Linked DNA regions of Arabidopsis thaliana. The protein of the gene in region 3 interacts with the protein of the main gene of each other region in a pairwise test. Each region holds a gene or a part of one and is shown on either strand. Other genes may lie near its edges. The genes, in order: SR34, RS2Z33, MOS14 and RAN-1.

Region 1 (6,733 bases), on a different chromosome or scaffold from region 3:
ACCTGTTGGAATTTATAGACAAAACACTGGTTTATCTGATAGTTTCTGATCTTTTATCATTCTAACATGAAGGTGAATATATATGTAATGTTACATCTCAGGAAAAATACTCAAAAAAGGGTTGAAGAACCTGATAAGCTGATGTGCCAGAGCCAAAGACAAAGCCTGGAGGGAAGTCATTTCTGCTGTATTTAAGCGACGAAACTGCGGTTAAAGCCAAAGCCAGCAGAGGAAGGAACATTAGACTATTGCTCAATAACTTCATCTCTCTGGTCTTGTCACCGTACAGAGCAAAAAAACTTTAGCAAGCAAGAACAAATACGAACGGTGAACCCCTTGTGATAGATTATTTAAGTACTTTAACAAGCAAGTACAAGTTTGGTTGAAACACGGAACTGCATTCGTCTGCTTCTAGGAGTGGGTCCACTTGTTTTGACAAGTTTGATGAAGAAGTAAAGAGCAAATCGTCCAACGATATAGAAAATAGGGAGCAGCATTAGCTTTCAAAAGGCTTTTTGTTTGTTTCCTTAGCTTTAGTATTTTTTTGTTTGGACCCACATGTTAACATATTGAGTGATCAACACCATAGTACCACACTCTCTAAGTAAAGACACTTTCATTATCTCTCAATGAGCAGCGAATACTTTTCAAAGAGATTGTTGATTGCCTTTTGTTGCATGTTCTATATCATCCAATAAAATCAAGTTTTGTCTTCAGGCTTATATAGCTCTCTAAGCTAAAGAGGACAGAGAATCCAAATCAGGCACTACTATACCAAGGATATAGAACTATAAAGATGGAATCGAACATGATATGATTGCAAAAGAGCATGAGAAATTAGGGAAACGAACAAAGGACTGAGTTCACCACAAAAACCAAGTTCAAAGCAGACGTCTCCAGACAAGATTCACCGGTTACTGGAATCGTACAGTTCAGGCTATACAGTCAGATTCCGGATCAGGTCTAAACACGACGTTGTTTAAGTGAGAGCTTTAGTTAATTAAGAAAAGGATGAATCAGAAGGAGGGAAAAGAAACGATATCTTCAAAAAAAAACATCATTCTCAAAAGTAAAGGGATCCAGAAGACGAAGAATGGCAAGAATATTACAAAATGATAGTGCAAATCAAACTTGTCGCATCTTCTACAGTCAATAAGCGTTCAGATATAATCCACTTCAAGAAAGTAGAATTTGTTTTGAGTAGCAAGAAGATGCTTCTCTCTTCTCTTTTCACCTGGATATCTCCCATTTTACCTGCAAACAAGAGCTCAGATTCAGATTTACGCATTATCAAACAAAATCAGATTGCAATGTTTCATTTCTAAGAAAGATTATGTACCTCGATGGACTCCTAGTGTGGATAGGACTCTTGGCTGGACTTGGCTTGCTAGGGCTCTTGCTTCCTTCCTTCTGAACCTGTGATACAGAAAAGCTATTAAGATAACGAACAATGTAAAACAGAAGATTATGTCAAAATAAAAGAGGGGTCACAAGTTGGATCTTGTTACTCACAGAAGGTAGAGGAGATCTTGATCTTGAACGCGATCTGCAAAAGTCCAAGAAAAGAAACTCAGATTCAAAAATCCAAACATGTTGTGTTTTATACTGTTCAGCAAGGTCCTGGAGCCTCTCCTTCTATCTCACAGAGATTAAGAAGTTGCAACAAATAAAAAAAAAGAAACATAAACCAAACTATTCTGCTACTTAGTTAAAACATAGGTGATAGGACAGAGGTTTTATAAGCCATGTGGCCAAAAAAACTTGTGTTGCCAAATGAGCCACGGACGTCCCAAGAGAACCCAGATTCCATATTGTCAATCCATCGAGCCAATATAGTTTTACAGAAATCCCGATATAATATTGTGATCCAAGTGATCCAATGTCTCCACTGTTATCCATCTAGCAGCAATGTAAATTAGTGAATACTATATCAGGAAGCCACGAAAAGCAAAGTCTCTATTCCAAAGTTTCCCATACCTCTTAGACGAAACACTTGTCAACAATCAATTTCCATCCAGATATTAATTTCCATTTTCTAGTCGTATGTAAATCCATATCTATGAAACAAAACCATTTTCTTCTCAGGAAAGAAAAGAGCATATTTAAAAATGCTAAAAATGTAAGGCCAATCTCGCAAATCTTAACCAGAAAAGGGCTAAGCATCTAAATATAAGGATGGAGTAAGAAGGGACAATAATGACGAGCAAACAGCAGGTGTCAACAAAAAACCAGTATATGCTCAATCAACAAGAACTTTGAGCATCAACAATGACTTTTCTAATCAGATTTTCATAAACTTCACAGGAAAATCTACCGACTAAGTAATGTTGCCTGGTGCATTCTGAAAAGGAATCAAATCATTACCTTCTTGGAGACGGTGACCTTGACTTCGAGCGGGGGCCAGGAGATCTTGATGTAGATTTTGCAGGGGACCTACGTGAAGACTTTGCCTTGGGACTTCTGCTCCTGCTCCTGCTTCTGCTCCTGCTTCGGCTCACGCTTCGTCCACGGCTGCGGCTGCGGCTCTTAGAATAGGATCTTCCCCGGCTAGGACTCCTAGAATCCTTCCTTGAATCATATTCTCTAACCTAAAGAGATATGAAACAAAATATTAAACACAACAATGAAAAGATCACAATTCACAGGAAAGTCAGCTTCAACTAACCCGGACATATCCATTCGAAAACGCATTTCGAAACTCTGTGTCGTCGAGCTTTTTCAGCTGGGGAAATTCAAGAGTGAGAGCTAATCAGTGATTAAGGATGAGTAGAACAAACTCTCAACCACAGAAGAGAAACAGGGAAAATAGCTTACCGCATACTTCATGTCCTCATAGCAGGTGTAATCAACAACTCCAGTTGTCCCTACAGTAAGATTGTCCAAGATTAAAACCATTCAACTTGGTTTTCGATGGACAAGATTATATGGGCACACTTATTACCTCTAGCATCACGGTACACTTGCGAGAAACAGACATCGCCTCCTTTACGCATGTGATCCTAATGTAAAAGTGATTCATGTTAGAATTCAGAAACTTTAAAGATACAAGGGGAAGTAAGGAGTTTTGTTGACCAGTGTGAAGTCACCTTGAGATCTTGCCAAGAAGCAGATGAAGGCAAGCCTGTGACTAGAACTGTGGTGGACAAAAGAAAAACAAGTAAAATTAGGAACAATTCCTACAACTTTGGACAGAATAATGCAAATTATATGACTACATACCACGAAACTCTGATCTCCTAGATGGCCCACGACTACCACCATCACCACGGCCGCGACCACCACCACGGCCACCACCATTGAAACTACCCCGAGTATCATCTGATGAACGCCTCCCACCATGCGCCAATTCCACCTACAAAAGGCAAACATTCGTTAAATTAGATTGAAAACCAATCCGAAAACACTCAAGAGTTGTAATTAAATATCTGAAATTCGAGTAATAATAACTAACCCTCAAACGATGCCCATCAAAGTCATAGCCATCACGACCATGAATAGCATCTTCAGCATCCCGAGCATCATCAAACTAAACAGATTAACGAAACACAAATAGGAAGAAAAGTCAGAACAAGTTCAAATTCTCGAATCATAACAACAGAGAGCCAAACTGTAATAACATCAAGAATCATAACACATGTCACTGCAAGAATAAGAGGTGGTAAGCTGACCTCAACGAATGCATAACCAGGAGGCCTTGGAGGAACCTTCAAATCAATTTGAACAACAGGTCCATACTGAAACAAAAGGAAGAAATAAATGTTACGGAGACTTATTATTATCGAGTGTAAGCGAAAACAAGGTTTACATAGCATAAAGACGAATCCTTTACCTTACTGAACAAATCTTCGACCTCTCTCTCACGGATATCGCCAGGAAGGTTTCCGACGTACACGGTTCTACTCGAACGACTGCTCATTCTTCCTTTATCAAATCCAAAAACACAAGTCCAAAGTCAAGATTCAAACTTTATCAAGAATGTCTGAAGCAGAGGAAGCGAAAATTCACCTGTTGGTCGTCGATTTGAGATCTCTCAGCCTCCGCAATTTGGGAATTTAGGGTTTCGAAGTTGGCGAACGATATAGGTTAATAAGGGAGCGTCACGTGAGTCACGTGAGCCTTTTATATACTATAGTGTGGCGAAGAAACGTTTCAATTATCTGCTTTAATCAAAATCTTAAAACATTACAAAGAAAGCAACTTAAAAAATTCTCACAAACAAAAAAATTACATGTCTCCGAAACTGGCTTGTTGTTAGATAGGTTCATTTGCCTGTGACCATTCCAACTTTATGGAGATGCTTCTAAGACTATATTGTTCGAGTAATGTCATTCTCCGTCAGTCGTCTTAATTATAGCCAGCTACAAACATAGAAATTGTAAGGTTAGTTTTAGGAAGACAAATATGGCAAAACATGTTTGATCACTAACTAGGGTTGGTTCTCTCCAAAATTTGACATTGTTCTTTCATTATAGGCGTAAGAACCTTGTTGAATTGGTTTGTAGTTAAAAGTCTTTTGCCTTGAGATATGTCTTTGTTGCTCTTAGAGAAATCTGATTTTGAAGTTTTTGATTTGTTAAGCAGATACAGAATCAAGCAAGGAGATTTGTGCTGAGGAGAAAGAGTTGTCAGACAAAAAATCTCACTATAGATGTCGTCGAGGCAGAAGGAATGATTACAAAGCTATTGATTCCATGACTCATAACATTCTTTTACTTATAGATTCGATCAAAGCACTGTTATTTCTTCAGGTGACTGACTTTCATCCACTAAGATGAAAAACTGCTTCCGAGTCGCAATGCGAAATCGCAAAGCCTTGAGAAGTTGTATAGATGTTTTATTCATAATTGTACAATTGTAAGAGAATAAACCAGTGTTTGATATAGTTTCCTCCACATCTTTTAAATGCTGAGATAACTACTCTAGGAAATGAAATACGGTACAGGTTTTATGTGATCAAATATCTCTTGATGTTGAACAAAGATTAATTGAACCGAGGCCGGTTCAATATTTGATATCATTTCGGATCAAACAGAAATTAGACAAGCTCTTAGCCCAAGTATTGGGCCTAAGAAGCCCATTGGGCTAACACTAAACAAAACCCTAGGGACTCTTGTGGGTCATTTATATAGTCCATCCCTAACCTCGCCGCGGGAAGATTTTCATCTTTTCGAGCCAACGTCTAATCTAAGCAAGAGAGTTTCATTCAATTCAATCTCTGTAGGAAGATGGCTCGAGTAGGGGCCAAGTCGAGTGGAGCTGGTGCTAAGAAGAAAGGAGTTTCTTTTGTGATCGACTGCTCTAAACCAGTTGATGATACGATCTTGGAGATAGCCACGCTTGAGAAGTTTCTTCAGGAACGAATCAAGGTCAGAGGTAAAGCCGGTGCTCTTGGTAACTCCGTCTCCATCACCCGATATAATGGAAAGATCAATGTCAACGCCAATTCCAATTTCTCCAAACGGTAAACTTCTTTTCTTCTCTCACACGTCTTTAGAAACCCTAACTTGCTCTTAAATTGCAAAAATCTGGTTTTGAATTCAGGTACTTGAAGTATCTGACAAAGAAATATTTGAAGAAGTACAATCTCCGTGATTGGCTACGAGTGATTGCATCTAACAAAGACAAAAATGTCTACGAGGTACGCTACTTCAGGATTGACGATGAAGTAGCTAGTTACGAGGAAGATTAAGCTCGACCTTCTTCATTCATTTTTAATTACACTTGGTCTATATTTTTCCTGCTTAGGACGGATCTTTATTAATTGTCCAAGTTTTTGCTGTCGTATGATTTTGGTGGTTAAAATTGACACAAGGATGAGGACTAAGTTCATTTCAAAATTCTGAAAGAAAGAGTGACTAAATGGCCGACTCTTTTTGAGGCCGTGTTGGTTCGGCAGAATTGAGTGGTTCCGACTCAATTTAGTTTAGGAGATCAAAAAATATCTAAATATATGCAATCACAATTATTTAGGAGATAAAAAAATATCTAAATATATCATTAATTTCTTTTGAGCATTATGAATACGTACATATGGTAATTTCATATATGAACATTTATATTTTCGGTTGACTACAAAAAAAAGAAGATAAAAATTGGTTTTGGTCAAACTATAGTATACTTGTATATTAGATGAGTTAATTAATTTTAAATCCAGATAAGTAAAACAAGTTGTTAATTACATACAAAACGACTTTGAAAACAATTTTAATTATAAGTTACAACTAACTTTAAAACCCTAAACCCAAAAAAAAAAATCAAAAGAAACAGAAAACAATAACTTTGGGTGAAAGCCTAAATTGACGCAGCCTATCTGCTCTGCTTCCTCTATATAAACCCTCCTCTCATCTCTCTTCCTTCTCATCTATCCTGCAAAGCATTTTGAAATCTGTCAAGAGAGATAGGACGACCAAGTTTGTTCGATCTCGTTGCCGCAAAAAGGTAACAGCAGTCATCAGATCAAGAACCTGAGAAACTTCTCTTTTGCGCTGTTTTTCTTCTTCTCCAAAACTCGTAAAACCTATAAACCACAATGGCTCGTTCTCTCGCTAACGCTAAGATCCAATCCGTCTTCGGCTCCGAAAAGCTCTCGAACGCCGTTTTCAGGTAACATCTGTTTCTGAAACAAAAACGTTATGTATTGCTCTGTTTTCTCGTCGCTTTAACAAAACGCTGACGTTTTGGATTTTGGATTCTCTTCAGACGAGGGTTTGCCGCCGCAGCCAAAACGGCGTTA
Region 2 (5,750 bases), on a different chromosome or scaffold from region 3:
CCTCCTCAACGTCTTTCCTTTCACTCCGAGGTATATGATCCCAATCGCCGGAATGTTGGTCGGAAATGCCATGACCGTCACCGGAGTTACCATGAAACAGCTTCGAGATGACATCAAAATGCAACTCAACCTGGTAAAAAAAACTATAACCAAACCAAATTCCCGGTTTAATTAGATTTTCCGGTTTATTTGATTTTGTCGTGAACCGTAGGTGGAGACGGCATTGGCACTAGGAGCAACGCCAAGACAAGCGACGTTGCAACAGGTGAAGAGAGCACTAGTGATCTCTCTGTCTCCGGTTTTAGATAGCTGCAAAACCGTTGGATTGATCTCTCTACCAGGCGCAATGACTGGTATGATAATGGGCGGGGCGTCGCCTCTAGAAGCTATTCAGCTTCAGATAGTAGTCATGAACATGATGGTAGGAGCAGCTACGGTTAGTAGCATCACGTCTACTTATCTTTGTTGGCCATCTTTCTTCACTAAAGCTTACCAGTTACAAACTCATGTCTTCTCCTCAGATTGAAACTTTTATAAATCCTTATAACAATCTTCGAAAACTTGTCCAAAAGAAACGCAACAACATTATGTCTCAAATGAAAAAACTCTTGGTAACATGAAACTTAAAAGGTTCTAAAGCAAACACACTTAAAAGAGAAAGGAACAGTCGATCCAATAGTATACATGCTACAATGCCTGCAAGCCGTGGCCATGAGCCATCAAAGTTAAGGAGACTCACTTCCTCTAGGGGAAGTGCGGTTTGGCTCGTAATCATCATCAACAGGGCTCCGGTCCTCTTTCGAACTGTCACCACCGGCTCCTACAACAGGACTGACAACAGAGTTTCTGCCATTGTCTTGGGGGCTACCACCGTCACGGTCAGATCCGACTTCCTTTTGAAGCTTTGGTGATGGTGGTGGGCTCCCGTCTATGATCTTTGGGCTGCCTTCATCATCAAGAACCGGACTACGATCTCTGGCTCTTGGCGATAGAGAGTCATCCATCCGCTTTGGACTGCGTGATCTCTCCTCCACACTCCTCTCTCTTCTTCTCACCGGGGATCGTGATCGGCTGACCATAAGGAAAATAAGAAGTCAATCAGAGAAAGCAGTTACTCGGATTCATGCTTTCAGGTTCATACATAAATCTAATGCATGTAAACACCTAAACATAAACCAAAATTTTGAAGTTTACACGGGCAAATACTAACCTGTAGCTTCGGCTACGGCTAAGACTCCGGCTTGGGCTTCTTCTACGACGAGGAGAACGGGATCTTACAGGTGACCTGGAGTAGCTTCCACTGCGCCTGCCATACAATCCAAGAAAGGGAGATGAGAAAGTGGAAAGAATAACAAAAAATGCACTTCTGAAAGAAATGTTAGTACCTAAGCTTCTTGGGGCTGTTTTTGCAGTTTCTCTCAATGTGTCCTCTCTCTCCACAACGGTAACACTTGTTCTTCCAGTCCCCTGCTGTGCAGTCACGAGCCCAATGACCATCTACACCACAGTTAAAACAGCGACCAGCTCCAGGTGGTGGGCCTCTGCTATCAAAATCCCGAGAACCACGAGGTGCCTATCATACAAACATAATATTGATTTCTAATGAGTTTGGCAAACACATTCAACCATACCTATAAACAAATGATAGAGCCTGAAAATAGAGAGCCAAACAACTCACCCCTCGTGAAAACTCCACAGTGATGCGACTTCCATCAAAGTCTCGTCCGTCCAGGTAATGTCTTGCATCATCAGCATCACGGGGATCACCAAATTCCTGATTTCGAAAATGTGAGGACAAAAGAGACCACATGCATGGTGTGTTTTCCCACATTATACATTGGTTCCGACTAAAAAACGTACTACATGACTTTTTCAAGAAATCGAAAGCTCAGGTTAAAAGGAGATTTTACTTACAACGAAAGCATAATCTCGCTTCATATCCACATCTCGCACTCTGCGGAAGAAATTGTTGGCAGAAAAGTAAGGCCATCATTACTTTAAGGTACTTCTAAACACCATTTTTGAGACTGAGTCTCCATTTCCATCAAAACACATTAAAAAATTCTACAAACAGAATCGCCAAGGCGCCCTGTCCCCTAAACACTTGGCGAGAATTTCCACCAAGTCCACCCACTCATCAAACACCTCCAGGTTAGGCAAAATCCCAGAGACCTTCAATAAGATCATTCAAGTTAAAAACATACACTAATGACTAAACCTAGTTCCACAACTTTCCCTCAAGAACACAAATATCAAAATACAGAACCAAAACTATGCCCCTCGATGCTTAATGACGACTTTCTGCATCTCTCCCTCGCACTAACAATTTTCATAACCAAGATATATAGAAAGGCGCATGAAGACTCTCATTTAACTAACCCCAACACATAGAAATCAATATGTCAAGATAAAGAAGCATTATGCTCCTCGATACTTTTAACTTTCTGCAATTGTTTCCTCGCACAATAGCAATTTACGTACTATATAACTAGAAAAATCACATTGAGACCATCATTTATTCCAATTACCGAGAAATCAAAATACTTCGTCCATAATCATAGATAGAAGAGTCAATTACCTTCCGTATCTGCTAAAAAGACGTTCAAGGTCTCGGGTCCTAGTTCTCGATGATAATCGGCCAACGTAAAGACGAGTGTTCCCATAGCGATCATCATAGCGAGGCATTGTCAAGCTACAAAATCAAAAAAAAGGGACAAAGAAACCACAGATTTTTGAGCATAACCTGTTAGAAACTATAAAACAAGAACGTAACAAAAATTCACTAACTCAAGACCTATAAAAAAGCCCCAAAGAAGACGCCATTTAGTTAATTCAGAGACAAGGAAGCGATAAATCGGAAAGACAGAAGCTAAGGAAACCATCACCGCAGATGCATCGAACCAATATAAAATCGTAATTCCGAGCAGTGAAAGCACTAAATTTCAATATGAATCATCGAATTGAGCAGAGTTTCGATACCTGGGGATTGAAGGAGAGCACTGCGAAACACGGAAGCCCTAATTTCGGAAGGAAAGGGGAAGAACAGCGTAAGGTAGCTAAAGTATGGTTTTCAAGTGTTTATAAATGGGCTTCAGACGCTGACAGAAAAAAACAAAAATGGGCTTCAGACAGAACCGACTAAATCCAACGGTAATAATTTGGTGTTGTGTCCTAAACCAACGGTAAATATCTTTAAAAAGAGATAAGAATCGATGTTGCCATATTCACCATTTTGCAATCTGTTGGGCCTTATATTAATAAGGCCCATTTAATTTGTGTAAATTGTAAAATAAGAATGGTGGTTTACAAATTGCAAGTTTTGTATGTCTCGGTATTCTTCTATGTTGCACACTCTGATCACATTTGCTTAAAGACTAATAGTAATGAGTTATCCAGACTAAACTATATATCTAGTTATGCAAATTCATTATAACAAATTGGATCCTCTAATCTTTAAAAACTTACAACATCTAAAAGTGATCAGATTTGTTATGACATCTATCTATTTATGCATAGTTTATGACATCTATCTTCTACCTTCTAGGATAAATTTTACCGTTTACCAATTCATGTTATAAACTATTCTTTGATGAACAAATCAAAGTCCGCCTATAATCCTATTTTGTTATTAAAGAAATACTAATAGCAATTAGCTTAGATTTTTATTTTCTGTTTTTTTTTTAACATTTAGCATTTTTTTTTCCTAAAGCACTTTCATTTTTTACAGAATAAAAAGAATGAAGATATATAAATATCACCGGTATTTTTCATTTCATAAATTATGACTTTATTATTCTTTAATTAATCGATTAAATATAGCAAGGACATACAATTATATAATTGAAAGAAAAAGGAAACAAAATTACAACAAACCTTTTTTCAAAAAAAAAAAAAGAACAACTGTTTAATCACTTCCGTTTGTTCTTGCTACCAATCAAGAGAGTGAAATAAAACAAAACCCTAAAGAAAAAACCCCAAGCAACAGTAATCCACAAACAATTCCATTTACTAATATCCGTAATCCCTTGCTGTTTCAAAATATCAATCCCCGTCGTCACACAAGTCTCCGCCGTCACATTCGTCCCCAATACACCGCTCATACTCTTCAACAGATTCACTTTCACATCGTTCGGAAACTCCCCCAACGGCGAATTGTCGAATAACTGAACTCCTCTGGCGAAACATCTCGTCGGATTTTGAAATTCGTTCTGCAACACTCCTTCGTAAGGGTATTTCACCAAGGAGATGTAATGGAACCAGAGCCAGTAAACAGGAATTCGATCTCGAGAGATGAAGAATCCGGAGAAGAGGAGGAAGTAAGCGAGGATCGCTACTACGACTGTGAATCCGAGCATTACGTTTGGTATAACGCCGGAGAGGAACGTTACGAAGGAGCTTCCTGCCCAAAATGAGGCTAGGATTGTGAAGTAGAAGAAGAAGAAACCATTGGCGCCTCCGTCGAGACCAACGGCCCAGAATGTTGTGGCGGCGAAGCTTGCGGAGAGGACGATTAAGGCCGGGATTGAGATTATGGATTGAGAGAGGACGTAGGAGGATCTCCGGTAAGCGTTGTAAGCTGTTTCTCTCATGAATATGTAACGTTCTTGTAGAAAGACTGGGATTGCTTCTGCACATGTGTAGAATGTTGTTGACATTGCGAATGCGAAGAATCCTAAACGTTCTTGTGCTCCTTTTGGGGAATTGTCTAGGTTAGTGAACATTGTAGCTAGGATGATTCCGGTGACCATTACAGCTCCTAGTCTCATTCCGAGGAGTTCTGGTTGTCTTCTTGAGTTTAATATAGCACGTTTGCCTATTACTATCATTTCAATCCAGAAAGGATTGGCGAATGTTTGGAATGATGGTGTTAGGTTTGATGAGTTGTTGTTCGTTGCTCCAGAGACGAGTTTCCCTCTTGAGATACTCGCGGTTATCGCTTCTTTGAGAGAAGATACGTTGGTGTTTCTCTTGTTATTGTTGTTGTAGCTTGGTGCTTGCTTTGCTCGCCATTGCTTGTGGAACTCGACAAGTGGCTTGGTTCCTTCTGTAGAATATTCCAGCTCTCGGATGAGATCGAGAGCGAACTCTGTTTTGTTCTCGTTTTCAGGAATTGGGTGCTTGAATTCTGAGAAGAACTGAGGGAGATGTGTTGGTGAGCCGCTGTAGACTGTGTTTCCCTTAGAAAGGAAGATTAACTGATCTAGAAGACCCATGATTCTGTAACTAGGCTGATGGATTGACATGATAACTATGCTGCCACTTTGTGCGATTCTCTGAAGGACTTTGATAACCATGTAGGCGCTTGTAGAGTCGAGCCCTGAGGTTGGCTCATCTAGAAAGAGGATGATTGGGTCATGGATTATGTCGTTTCCAATTGATACCCGTCTCCTTTCTCCTCCAGACACTCCTCTGTGGCCTTCATCACCAATCACGGTTTTTGCAGCGCTCCTTAGGCCTAATTGGTCAATCAGAGCTTGAACCCTTGCTTTCTTCTTCTTCTTGGAGAGTGAACGAGGGAGCCTGAACTCTGCAGAGAACATTAGAGTTTCCTCCACGGTAAGCATCGGGAAGAGAAGGTCGTCTTGCATCACGTAAGCCGATATGACTTTCTGCATGCTTGATTCAAGAACTTCTCCGTTTAAGGTAATGGATCCCCTGAGGCTATCTTTTGCGATCCGGTTGGCTAATGCATCGATCAGTGTTGATTTACCGGACCCACTTGCTCCAAGAACCGCCATCATCTCCCCTTC
Region 3 (5,875 bases):
CTGCGAAGTTGAAAATGAAGTTTCTCTATTAAAACTCTAATAATGAATTCTAAATTGAAGGAAACATTGGCTTGTAGGTTGAAAACTAATAGAAGGCTATTTTCTATTTGATAAAGAACAAAAAAATTCCTGCTCATTATAATGAAGGTGAAAAAACCATCTTAAGGCAATGCAGTATACACCCAACACACATCAAACACTAATTTCCAAAATTCAACAAGAAAAGCTTAATAACCAATTTCTAGAAGCTCAATTTGCAAATTCTCGAACTTCGCATATTCCAACTAAGAGATAACAGGTATGCTAGAAATTTCGCAGCTCCCATAGTGTTCCAATACCAGAAGATATCACAAAATAACTCATCCATAAATAGTCTCTATTCAGTAAAGATATTTCAATTTACGGGGAAAAATATATCAATGTGAAGTATCCCAAGACTCTAAAGGCCTATGTATATATTAGCTTTTCCAACTAGTATACCATTAACAGATGCCTCTGATAGTGGATCACAGTTCAAACTTGAGAGAGCTGCATGCACCAATGGATGACAGGCAAGCACTGTTCCAGGAATCCTGAAAAAGACCACCCCAAAGTTCACCAGTATACAGTTCAGTCAGTATCATCGTTGCTAAGTTGAATTGGTGAAAATAAAGAAGGATAGCAAGTAGAAACCAACAGCAACAAATCAGATAAACTTAGCTTTGTGTCTAAGATGATTCTATATAGGACAAAATCTATGACCCATATATTAAAACAATTTACAACCTGACGAACTCGCAATGAATATTTGTAATCTAGACGAGCTTTTGTTCTAAATAAAACTGGAGATAGAAAAGCAAAAGAAAAGAGCATACCCATGCCTAAGACGGAGCCAAGAAGCAAATGCCTCGAGAACCTGAAAAATCAAAATTACAGAACACAATTGACAATAAGTGACTTCTTGCAACACCAAAAACACTAGCTGGTCCAACACACAGGAACATGGGACATTTTTCAGAAGCTAACAATAATGCAAGAAGACATATTAAATTTTGGCAGGTGAGTGAAAACCTAAGATGTAATCAAGCTTTTACCTAAAACTAGCAAATATGTTTTGACAAGGCAAACATAGACTCTGACTGGTAAAGAAAGTAAAAACTAGTGGAAAGTAAAAAAACAGACATGCATCAGAAAACATAAAAAGAAGAAGGTTATTTTGATGTGTTATACAGAGGGATCATGGAAAGTGAATAACAAACTATGTACTGAACTATGTCACGACTCTATATTAAAGATAAGCTCTGACCTGTTCCTTAAGTTCGGATATTTTCAAACATGCTGATAAGATACTAAGTGCAGCTTCCATTTGAGAAGTAAGCTCTTTTTCGAATTGACGTCGTCGATCCGGACGAGCAGCTATTTTGTAGTTAAATGTTTCCTGGTCATAGCAAGAAGGACAATATAAGATCAAGACATCATATAACCATCTAGATTAAAGCTAAACATTCCTAAAGTGAATCAAGTTAATGAAAGGGAAAGGTCAAACGATGTGGTAGAGATTTGTGAAAAAATTAGAATCTTCATTTAGTTACAAATAAACTACCAACATTTTTTGCAAACAATACCATACAAAATATCAAGGTCTTGCCCAGCCAATACTTTAGGGATTGAAATAACACTCACAGAGTAACGTCGAATGCTACCTAAACATAGATATGGAAAAAGTAAAAAAGGAACAGAATATTCTCCAAATAGGTCTACCCAATTTGAGGTCAGTAATACCAGCATAAATAATAAGTAAGAAGATCCAAGTCAGACCAAAATAAGGCCTTTCATATCTATATAGCCGGATACATGAAGTCAAATTAATTACTGAGTGAGATGAACACTTAAACAAAGGAATAAAAAATACTCTACCTCGGGCAAAACTGTCAAGAGTTCCAAGAAACCAGGCACATATTCAGGATGCATATGCATCTCATCCCTAAGCCAGCTAATTATACCACCATCTCCCCAGTCTGCCGCAGGAACATGCACCGCCAAGGCAGCAACAGCAATGCTAATCTACAATATAAAATACTTAAATAAGATAACTCGACACAAAGTACATGACTTTATACGCACAACAGAAAATTCCACATATGCACTTACCTGGGTCCTAACTTTTGGAGGGCCCTTGTGGAACTTTTTTAACAATGTCTGCATTTGAGAAAATAATGAAAGTCAAAATTTTCCGGGAAGTAATTGTCCAATACCAAGAATAATAGGCCAGAAAGATGAAATCATAGTAAAACCTAGATCCCAGAATACTCTAGTTCAACTGAGTTTTCCTATTATGTTATTGCTCAAAGGAACAGACATACTAATGAATAACTCATGAAACCCTACAACTTTGGAAGAAATAGTTAATAGAACAAAGAATTACCGTTAATGATTGCCGTAGCTTCTGAAAAGCCCCAGGTGGTAGTTCTTCAAAATCTCGTTGAACCTTCGAGTGAGACAGACTAGATGTCACCAGAATGCTCCAAGATTGTGTGATAAATGAATAAGGATTTACAGAAACATTCAGGTGCATTTACCTTGCTTCGAAGGGTCTGAGAACAGAATATCAAAGTTTCCAAATTGCTAGAAGAATCATGAAGTAAATTATCCGCAACCTAGAAAACATACAACAGCACAGAGTAAGAAATATTGTAGAACTTCTCCATCAAAAAAAATCCTCTTCTCCGCAACAACAATCATGGGTCTAAAAGAAAAGAGCTCATATAAAACCTAGCTAATCGTTTCTCTAACAAGGTAAATCTATTCACACACCTTACACATACTTCTCAAACCAGCTACAGGAAAAAGTGCACAATTGAACTTAGATGTACTGAAAATTCGAGATTTCTGCTATGCATAAGCCTATATGACCTTAACAAGCGAATCGCTAATACAAATTGACTAAAGGATGAAAATTTATGCACTTATATAGTCTAAAGTAACTCAGAAATGAACTTAGACGTACTGAAATTTTGAGATTTCTGCTATGCATAAGCCTATATGACCTTAAAGAGCAAATCACTAATACAAATTGACTAAAGGATGAAACTTTATGCACCTATATGGTCTACAGTAGCTGAAAATCGAACATTAAACTCTAGCACAAGTGCTACAAAACAAGGAAGAACAAATCGAACCTAAACAAATCGAGATTAAATAATTGAAATCGAAAAGAAAAAACTCGCCTGCCAAGCATCGAGAGTTCCTTGGAAGTTCTGAAGCCAGCGATCAGCGTGCACACGCACTGTATCATCCGGGTGATGATACAGTGCGTTTAGGGCTTCTTTGACCGCGTTCTGATGCTCCATAGCTATGAATCTTTACGCGTTATTCGCTCGTACGGTCACCAAATCACGACCAGAGAGAAAGACCCAGATTGAGAAATAGAAGAATTTGCCCAACTGAAATTCGGGATTTTGTCAAATCGATTTCGCCCAACAAAAACAATAAAAATAAAAACTTTTTTTTTCCCTCTTTGTCAAAAAGGTTTTTTTTTGGCGCCCCTCAACTTGAGTGAGGAAGAGAGATAGAGATCGAATTTTGATCTGAAAGAGGATGAAGAAGAGAGAATCTCAGCCGTTAGATACAATTACTTTGACTTAAAGTCAAATCCTTCTTCTTTTATTTTGAAGACAGAAGTTGTTTACTTTTTTTCAGTTGTTGCAATAAATTGAAGACAACAAAAAAAACGTATCATTGATTCATCATAACATAAAGATTATACAAAGGACAAGATTTAAGACCAACATATGTTACTGAATCAATTGTTACAAGTTATATAATAGGACAATACAACAATGTTTTATAAAGTGTTAATCTCTCTGGTCACTCTCATATTCTATCTTATGATATAACAGCAAAATGATACACACGCATAGGATAAAAAATAAAGGGTTGCATTCATTTTTACTGCCTACAAAACACATCCATCAATCAGAGAAAGACTCTTTTTTATGTGGTTCGGTTAAAGTTCCCATCAACCTGCATATGGAGCCACTCCGGTTGAGATACTCGGGTTTCATTAGCTTCTTGTTGCTCGTATATTGTTCGATGAACGTCAATCGGTAAAGTCCCGAGCTGATACAACACACCAAGAGCTTTTAGATTTAGTAGCTTTGATTAAGAAAGATAAGATTTTTCTATGTTCTTTTAGATTTGGGACTTACATCACCGGAAGGAAAAACTCCTATTGTCGGACCAGTACTTGCACCCGAGTTAACAACTTCTAGCTTCATTGATAGAAACTGCAGACCAAACTCCATGCTTAGGCATGTATAATTGTAACATATAACAGAGAGGTGTTAACGACTTTTACCTCAACTTGCCGCTGCAATGACTGAATATAATTGATAATCTCATCGAGCACAAGGGCTTTTCCGATTATCTGATCAACAGAAATATCTTGTTGAATGTTTTTTAGGCTATAATAACATCATTCACAAGCAGGGACCAAAAGAACATGTACCTTATTACATCCTGGAATTATATCTTGAAGAGCTGTCATCTTCTCACTGATCTTTTCTCTTCTAGCCTGTCAAAGACAACATTGTGATTCTAATAAAAGGAACAGTTTTTGAGGATAAAATTTATGGTGATTTTAGCAGAAGAATTACTCGCTCTGCTAAACTATGCCGGTCAGTAGCTTGTCCTCTTCTTGCTCTCACATGAATATAATCCTTTGGTGGCTCAGGTTTGTTCTTCTGTTCCGTTGCTTTGCTTCCACCACCACCCGAACTTGTTTCGCCTTCAGGTCTCATCGAACCATCTCCATTTCCACTTTCAGATCCACACAGTTTTCTTTTCTTATCCCCTGATTCTTTCTATTAAAAAAGTAAACAGATGGAAAGCTTTAAGATCCTAAATCAAACTCTCAATCTAAGATCACTAAGTAAGCATTGACCATTCCAACATCTATCAAACTAATGGTCTTCAAGCTGAATCCAACTTAAGTCAAAAAGTCAATGGAGATAAGTCATCTAATCTATAAACTAATCCTTGATCCCTAAACCAAAGACTTAAACTTTGACTCATTGATTTTTAGATCACCACCAAGCTAAAGGATCTAGATTCAAACATTCAAAAGACCCAACAAATAAAAATCAGGACTTTTCAAAAATTGAAGTGCAAAATCTCACCAATTCATTACCACTGCTGCTGGAAGAAACCATCTTTGAAGAATCATCCTCAGAGTTCAAATCTCTAGTCTTTCTACTTCCCCAGCCAGCAGTTAGATCGGTGACTGTAGATTCCTCAGCCGCGGAGACGTCTTTATTGCCGGAATGTTCAGAGCGAGTAAAGACTCGACCGGAGTTAACAGCTAAACGGAGACCAGAGCGAACGGCGTCGTTTACAGGGAAAGGCCAAATCTCGGAGAGAGTGTAAGAAGAAGGATTAGCTGCAGAGAAGGAGGAATCGTTCACTAGTGGAGGGTCCATTTCCGATGATCGTAAAAAGGGTTGACCCAGATTTAGGACCCGGATCCGAGAAGTGAGGAACTTGATAGAAAAAAAGAAGGAAAAGGTTTGAGCTTTGCGAGGTCTTGTCTTGTTTATAGGGTTGTGTGTGAGGTGGACAAATAGAGAGAGAGATCGGAGAAGGTAAGACAGATGTGGGTAGTGATAATGCGCCACTAGTATGCAATGGAAGATGATTTATCACCAATACTTTCAGAAAATCTCATTAATTACACAGCTTACATCAAATATTTTGCCGTTTCTGTTATAAAAAAAATATTACAATGGTAAAATTTTCGTTTCGTTTAGAAACAAAATTGAATAGAAAAGATATATTATGGCGCAATAACCTAAATAATTTCTATCAAAAATAAAAAATAAAAATCTCACAATTATGTCTT
Region 4 (5,470 bases), about 18 Mb from region 3:
CATCTAAGAATCGATATCCCAAAGATCTGCTCAACGAAGGCCTAGTCTGTAAGGTTCTCTTTAAAACCAATCAAACATTGATATTATCAAAAACCAATCGTACAAATCTAATCAGCACATCATCAAAATCTCAAATCCGTCTCTTAAACGAGAATGCTTTCAGATGGGGACAGTGAAAAGACGATCAAATTTCAGAGATCACAAAAAACAATAGGTCAAAAAACACGGCGAAGAATACTGTACCTGTGCCTCCATCACCAACGATGACGAGCTTGAAGCTAGGATAATCTACGGTTTGTTGGTTAGGTAGAGCCTGAACAAGATATCACAACAAAATTCAGTAAAATCCGAAAAAAGAAACATCAACGAAATTAAGCGATCTCGTGAGATCTAAATACTACAAGACGAAGAAATCGGGAAAAGAGAAGAGAATGTTCACCATGTGAGAGGAGAAGCGAAGTCAGACGTTGATGTCGTCGAGGTTTAAGAAGCGATGCGGCGAGAGGGACTAGGGAGAGAGATGGGGTTTTAATAAGGAGAATTTTGGGAGGTTTTGGCTTAGGTTTGACGCTATTTTTTCCACCGTTAGATTCCATCTTTTGGCTCTCCAATATCTACGCAGCTTTCTGCACCGTTGGATCTTTTTTTTTTCAGCTTTAGGTCCTGGTTTTGAGTTTTGACAAAATAAATAATATATTTATTTCCTGTATCGTATGTGAAGTTTTGATTTTATTTGTAGCATAGTTTTTTACTAACAAATCATTTAAATAAGGATTTATTGTCCGTAACGGATAGTTTCAAAATTTCAAGTACTCACTCACATGACATCCATCTAATGATGCCTTTCAAATTTAATGGTAACATATTAATACCAACAATATTTCCAGAAATTAATATACACATCGATAAATTCTTAAGCTCAAACTTGCAGAAATTGGTCTTAGAGCTCACGGTTGAAGAAAATGTCTGGAATCACGGATTGAAATCGGTCGTTGATTTGAGGGAAAGGGTTACTTCATTCTTCAATGCAAGAATGGTTGCCAAACAAAAAGTTATCCGATTATTATTCTACAAGTTCTGGTGCGGATTGATTAAGAAGATCAAGTTTCAAAGAAGAAAAGGAAGAGGATTGCAGAAGAATCTGCAAAGCTAGAGAGATCGGGGAAGGCAAAGAACTTAACCATTGTCAATGCAGGTCAGGTCTCCCAACAAGATCTACTTGCAGCTAATTTTACCCAGGTTTATATGACATCACCTGGTAGCTAAAGAGTGGCATCTGAAATCTAAGAACTGGCAAGTAATAGGAGGTAGAATAAAGTTTTCCAATCAACTAATATTCTTGCGAAGAAACAACTTAGCTTTGGATACCATCAGAAGAACCATCCAAAAATACATACCTAATTTTTGTTATAAGAAAGACCGATTGATTTATATGTAACACCAAAACAACATAGAGAAAACCAAAAGGAACAAGCAAGAGCTTCCCACGGCAGACATTCTAGAAGGATGATTTACTCAAAGATATCATCATCGTCATCGGGGAGGGGTTGAGCTGCAGCCTGTAAGAGCTCGGCCTCGTTCTTCTGCTGATCAGCAATGTCAATGTGAACCTCTGGTGGAGCAAGCGCTGGTGTCTCCACAAAGTGAAGGTTTTGGTCTCCAGCCAGTTTTCTAGCAAGGTACAAGAAAGGCTTCTCAAAGTTGTAGTTGCTCTTTGCTGATATCTCATAGTACTGCAGATTCTTCTTCCTGTGGAATGTAACCTGCTTTGCCTTCACTTGCCTGTTCTTCACATCAACTTTGTTCCCACACAGAACAATCGGGATGTTTTCACACACCCTGCAGAGATCACGGTGCCATGTCGGAACATTCTTGTATGTGAGCCGTGCTGTGACGTCAAACATTATTATAGCACATTGACCATGGATGCTGCAAGAAATTCAAAGATGATTAGCTATACATCCAGATGGAATATCAAAATTAAAATTCAAGTTCTACTCTATTTGTCCAGGTAACAAAATCAGTTGCAAACTATGCATACTTCAAAACATACCAGTCTTATACCCATTGTCCAGGTTAATCGGTTGCCAATTTCAAATCCTAACCAGAGCTAATCCAAACTAAGCACACTCTAGATTGACTCTAGACACTAACCTATCAATGAGAAAGTAAAGGGTCCACACTTACTAGTATCCATCCCTAAGGCCACCAAATTTCTCTTGTCCAGCAGTGTCCCAGCAGTAAAAACGGATCTTGCCACAGTTTGTGAAGAAATCTAATGGATGAACCTCCACACCAATAGTAGCTGCAACAAACAAGATTACGACTCAAAATCAGAATCATTTAAGAGACATGAAGAACAGAAATCTGAACATTCACAAGCAATACTTACGTTCATACTTCTTCTCAAACTCCCCAGTAAGATGTCTCTTAACAAAAGTAGTCTTCCCTGCACAACCACCAAAAGCAATCAAAGGTTTAGCAAAACAATCAAAACACATTACCATACTTGAAATCAATTGAGCCACTGGATACAACAGTACGGATTATAAAGAGTCGACTAGCAAAATCTGCTTAGCATATGAGCCTATCTCTATCACCCCAATCACCATCAACGTAAATCCAAGCATTGATTAATCGATAAAAAAAAACACGGCGAAGAGTACCGTACCTGTGCCTCCATCACCAACAATGACAAGCTTGAAGCTGGGATAATCTACGGTTTGCTGGTTAGGTAGAGCCTGAAAAATATATCCACGACGAAATTAGAAACTAGAACATGGAAACATCGACGCAATCTCGTGAGATCTGAGACGGAGATAATCCTAGATCAAGGTATACAATCTGATAATACACGAAGAAGAAATCGGTAAAATCGAAGAGAACATGTACCATGTTTTCGCAATCGCGAGCTAGAGGAGAGCGAATTCAGGCGATGGTGTTAAGAAGGAAGCGGCGAGAGGGAGAATGAAGATGGAGAGGGAGAGAGAGATTGGGGTTTTTAAAAGAGAAATTTGGGAGGGTTTGGCTTTGAGTTGACGCTACACTATTGGCCGTTGGATTCTTTCTCTTTGGTTCTTCTGCAATTTTAACGCAGCTTTCTCCACCGTTGGATCTTTTTCTAGCTTTAGGTCCACGCGTACTCATTCATCGGCATTGATTTTTCTTTCCTTTTTTCACATTTAGCAAATTTTGAAATTAAATTCATTACAATATATACGCGTTGGTTTTGACAAAATAAATTATTTATTTTCTTTATCATATTTATACCTCAATTTTTAATAATAGACACCATTCATCAATAAGGATTTTTATTGTTCATAACGGATAGTTTTCAAATTATTCTTGACACATGCCAGATGGGTTGAATTTCTAAATTAATGTACACTCCAAATTCAAATCACTCACTATTGACCTCAGCGGTGGATCTCAGGTACAAAGCTATGTCGATTATTTTGTCTCAAACAATCTTTTAGTTGGTTTTCTCTTTAAGCTAATGAGACTGAGTTGGAGAAGAATATACTCTTAAGATGTAAAATGTAAGCTTGGTTGAATCGAAGATGTTATGCTGAACAACCATTTGAATGAATAGAAACTAGTGTACAAACATTGTTTAGAAAAGCTTAAAGCGCTAGCCGAAAAGGTTTCAGAAAGAACCACAGACAGTAGAGAAGAAATAATCGAAATTAATCTGTGACTCTGAAATTCCTACTTCCAGAGCTTACGCAGAGACATGTTCTTCTCTGTGTCTTTCTTCATTACCTTCGCCACAGCCATCTCAAAGTCTTCCTGAGTCACATGTACTCTCCTCTCACGAAGTGCAAACATGCCCGCCTCCGTGCATACAGCCTGACCGTAATAACCAAAAACATTAGAGAGAGACAGATTGGAGAGAACAAGACAGAAGCAGGGACAGAGAAACACTTACCTTCAGCTCAGCACCTGAAGCACCATTCATCTTCTCTGCAATCTTTTTCAGATCGATTCCACGCATCAAATTCATTTTCCTTGAGTGTATCTTCAAGATATCAAAACGTGACTGCAACACATATTAGAAATATACATTAGCCAAACCGTCCTGCCTCACTTTGGGTACAATAAGTATGGAGAAAAGTATTTTACGCAGTAAATGATAGTTTACCAAAAACAACGGAGTGAGCAAAGTTGCTACTTCAAGTTTAAAGTTATTTCTAATATCATGTCCTAAGAAACACAAGCATTACCTCTTCATTAGGATTAGGAAATTCAATTTTCCTATCAATCCTTCCAGGCCGGAGAAGAGCTTGATCCAGAATATCAATACGATTTGTAGCCATCAAAACCTGCAACAGTCATTTAAGAGAATTAACAACTTTGTCTGCGAAATTCAGAGTAACACAGAGTTATCCTTTTCAGCTTCATGACTATTTTTTCATTCACAACATAAGGCATACCTTGATTTTGTTTGACGCCTCGAATCCGTCAAGTTGATTGAGAAGCTCAAGCATAGTCCTTTGCACCTCACTGTCACCATTTCCACTACCAGATTCCATACGAGCAGACCCGATACTATCGATTTCATCCATGAAGATGATTGATGGTGCATGCTCCCTGAAAACCATAAGCCAGAGGTACTAGAAAGGTAAGCTAGCTGGAATAAGTATTTTTCAGCACAATGAAGATGATTAATGGTGTATACTTTGCTCATTACAAAAGACTATTACTGTGGCCTAAATGCTAGGCATCGAGACTACTTGTAAAGATCATTATGCTTGAGATCGTATACATGTTGAAACCATATTCATAGCAGGAACAGAGAACAATTTACTCAATTTATTTTACTCCACATGTCCACTACAGCTACTAAGCACGGGCATGTAAAAGATTTATCGTGTCAAAAGTTCCATCTTTTCCAACCTACCACTTTTACCATGCTTGAAATATTAAATAAGGACTAGCATGTACAAACCTTGCCATCACAAAAAGTTCTCTGACCATTCTAGAACCTTCTCCAATGTATTTCTGGACCAGCTCAGAACCAGAAACTCTGATGAAAGTACAGTCAGTGTGATGTGCCACAGCCCGAGCCAATAGTGTCTTCCCAGTTCCAGGTGGACCGTACAACAACACACCCTTAAAAGAGAGGGAGAAGCAATCAGTTCGAAATCCACTTAGCAGCGTCACAATATAGATAAGCTTTGAAATTCAAGTGTACCTTTGGCTGCGCAATTCCAAGAGACTCAAACAATTCAGGATGCTTGATTGGCAGTTCAATGACCTGATAAACCAGTAAAGATATTATATAAAATTTAAAAGCATGAAACCAGTGACTTTTAGTATCGTTTGTTTCTTTCACTATGCATACCTCCTTTATTTCCTTGATTTGCTGGTCAAGACCACCAATCATGTCATATGTGGAGTCTGGAACCTTCTCAACTTTCATAAGGTTAACCAAGGGATCTACTTTACTTGGCAGAACCAGGTGGAGAAC

The links.
Region 1: the proteins of MOS14 (region 3) and SR34 interact in a two-hybrid assay, tested with the Arabidopsis thaliana proteins (one study listed by BioGRID).
Region 2: the proteins of MOS14 (region 3) and RS2Z33 interact in a two-hybrid assay, tested with the Arabidopsis thaliana proteins (one study listed by BioGRID).
Region 4: the proteins of MOS14 (region 3) and RAN-1 interact in a two-hybrid assay, tested with the Arabidopsis thaliana proteins (one study listed by BioGRID).

The regions. Positions count from the first base shown.
Region 1 is NC_003070.9:624,101-630,833, reverse strand, and holds SR34 (RNA-binding (RRM/RBD/RNP motifs) family protein), read right to left. Parts: upstream 4,196-6,733; 5' UTR 4,006-4,195; intron 3,922-4,005; 5' UTR 3,917-3,921; coding exon 3,830-3,916; intron 3,735-3,829; coding exon 3,669-3,734; intron 3,527-3,668; coding exon 3,452-3,526; intron 3,353-3,451; coding exon 3,220-3,352; intron 3,134-3,219; coding exon 3,087-3,133; intron 3,000-3,086; coding exon 2,942-2,999; intron 2,865-2,941; coding exon 2,815-2,864; intron 2,723-2,814; coding exon 2,666-2,722; intron 2,589-2,665; coding exon 2,365-2,588; intron 2,058-2,364; coding exon of another isoform or gene 2,036-2,057; exon of another isoform or gene 1,900-2,035; coding exon of another isoform or gene 1,839-1,899; exon of another isoform or gene 1,547-1,838; coding exon 1,513-1,546; intron 1,417-1,512; coding exon 1,340-1,416; intron 1,255-1,339; coding exon 1,251-1,254; 3' UTR 841-1,250; downstream 1-840. Other genes in the region: BGLU11 (beta glucosidase 11), read right to left, coding at 1-2, 131-265; AT1G02830 (Ribosomal L22e protein family), read left to right, coding at 5,226-5,461, 5,542-5,689; LEA3 (Late embryogenesis abundant 3 (LEA3) family protein), read left to right, coding at 6,530-6,603, 6,700-6,733.
Region 2 is NC_003071.7:15,669,647-15,675,396, forward strand, and holds RS2Z33 (arginine/serine-rich zinc knuckle-containing protein 33), read right to left. Parts: upstream 3,055-5,750; 5' UTR 2,980-3,054; exon of another isoform or gene 2,795-2,979; intron 2,693-2,794; 5' UTR 2,686-2,692; coding exon 2,579-2,685; exon of another isoform or gene 1,955-2,578; coding exon 1,915-1,954; exon of another isoform or gene 1,832-1,914; coding exon of another isoform or gene 1,775-1,831; coding exon 1,679-1,774; intron 1,574-1,678; coding exon 1,386-1,573; intron 1,307-1,385; coding exon 1,211-1,306; intron 1,072-1,210; coding exon 726-1,071; 3' UTR 527-725; downstream 1-526. Other genes in the region: ALS3 (aluminum sensitive 3), read left to right, coding at 1-133, 212-526; ABCG2 (ABC-2 type transporter family protein), read right to left, coding at 3,909-5,750.
Region 3 is NC_003076.8:25,129,145-25,135,019, forward strand, and holds the start of MOS14 (ARM repeat superfamily protein), read right to left. Parts: upstream 3,573-5,875; 5' UTR 3,330-3,572; coding exon 3,207-3,329; intron 2,637-3,206; coding exon 2,559-2,636; intron 2,468-2,558; coding exon 2,405-2,467; intron 2,179-2,404; coding exon 2,131-2,178; intron 2,044-2,130; coding exon 1,897-2,043; intron 1,418-1,896; coding exon 1,286-1,417; intron 896-1,285; coding exon 855-895; intron 573-854; coding exon 481-572; intron 1-480. Other genes in the region: AT5G62610 (basic helix-loop-helix (bHLH) DNA-binding superfamily protein), read right to left, coding at 3,973-4,098, 4,188-4,265, 4,337-4,405, 4,487-4,552, 4,635-4,841, 5,157-5,456. UniProt on the Arabidopsis thaliana protein: Functions as a nuclear import receptor for serine-arginine rich (SR) proteins. Regulates nuclear import of SR proteins that are required for proper splicing of the two resistance (R) genes SNC1 and RPS4, a crucial step for their functions in plant immunity.
Region 4 is NC_003076.8:6,757,789-6,763,258, reverse strand, and holds RAN-1 (RAS-related nuclear protein-1), read right to left. Parts: upstream 3,166-5,470; 5' UTR 2,896-3,165; coding exon 2,893-2,895; intron 2,742-2,892; coding exon 2,672-2,741; intron 2,450-2,671; coding exon 2,393-2,449; intron 2,306-2,392; coding exon 2,188-2,305; intron 1,930-2,187; coding exon 1,512-1,929; 3' UTR 929-1,511; downstream 1-928. Other genes in the region: RAN2 (RAS-related GTP-binding nuclear protein 2), read right to left, coding at 244-313, 440-442; AT5G20000 (AAA-type ATPase family protein), read right to left, coding at 3,709-3,849, 3,929-4,039, 4,224-4,322, 4,434-4,590, 4,949-5,112, 5,195-5,257, 5,345-5,470. UniProt on the Arabidopsis thaliana protein: GTP-binding protein involved in nucleocytoplasmic transport. Required for the import of protein into the nucleus and also for RNA export. Involved in chromatin condensation and control of cell cycle.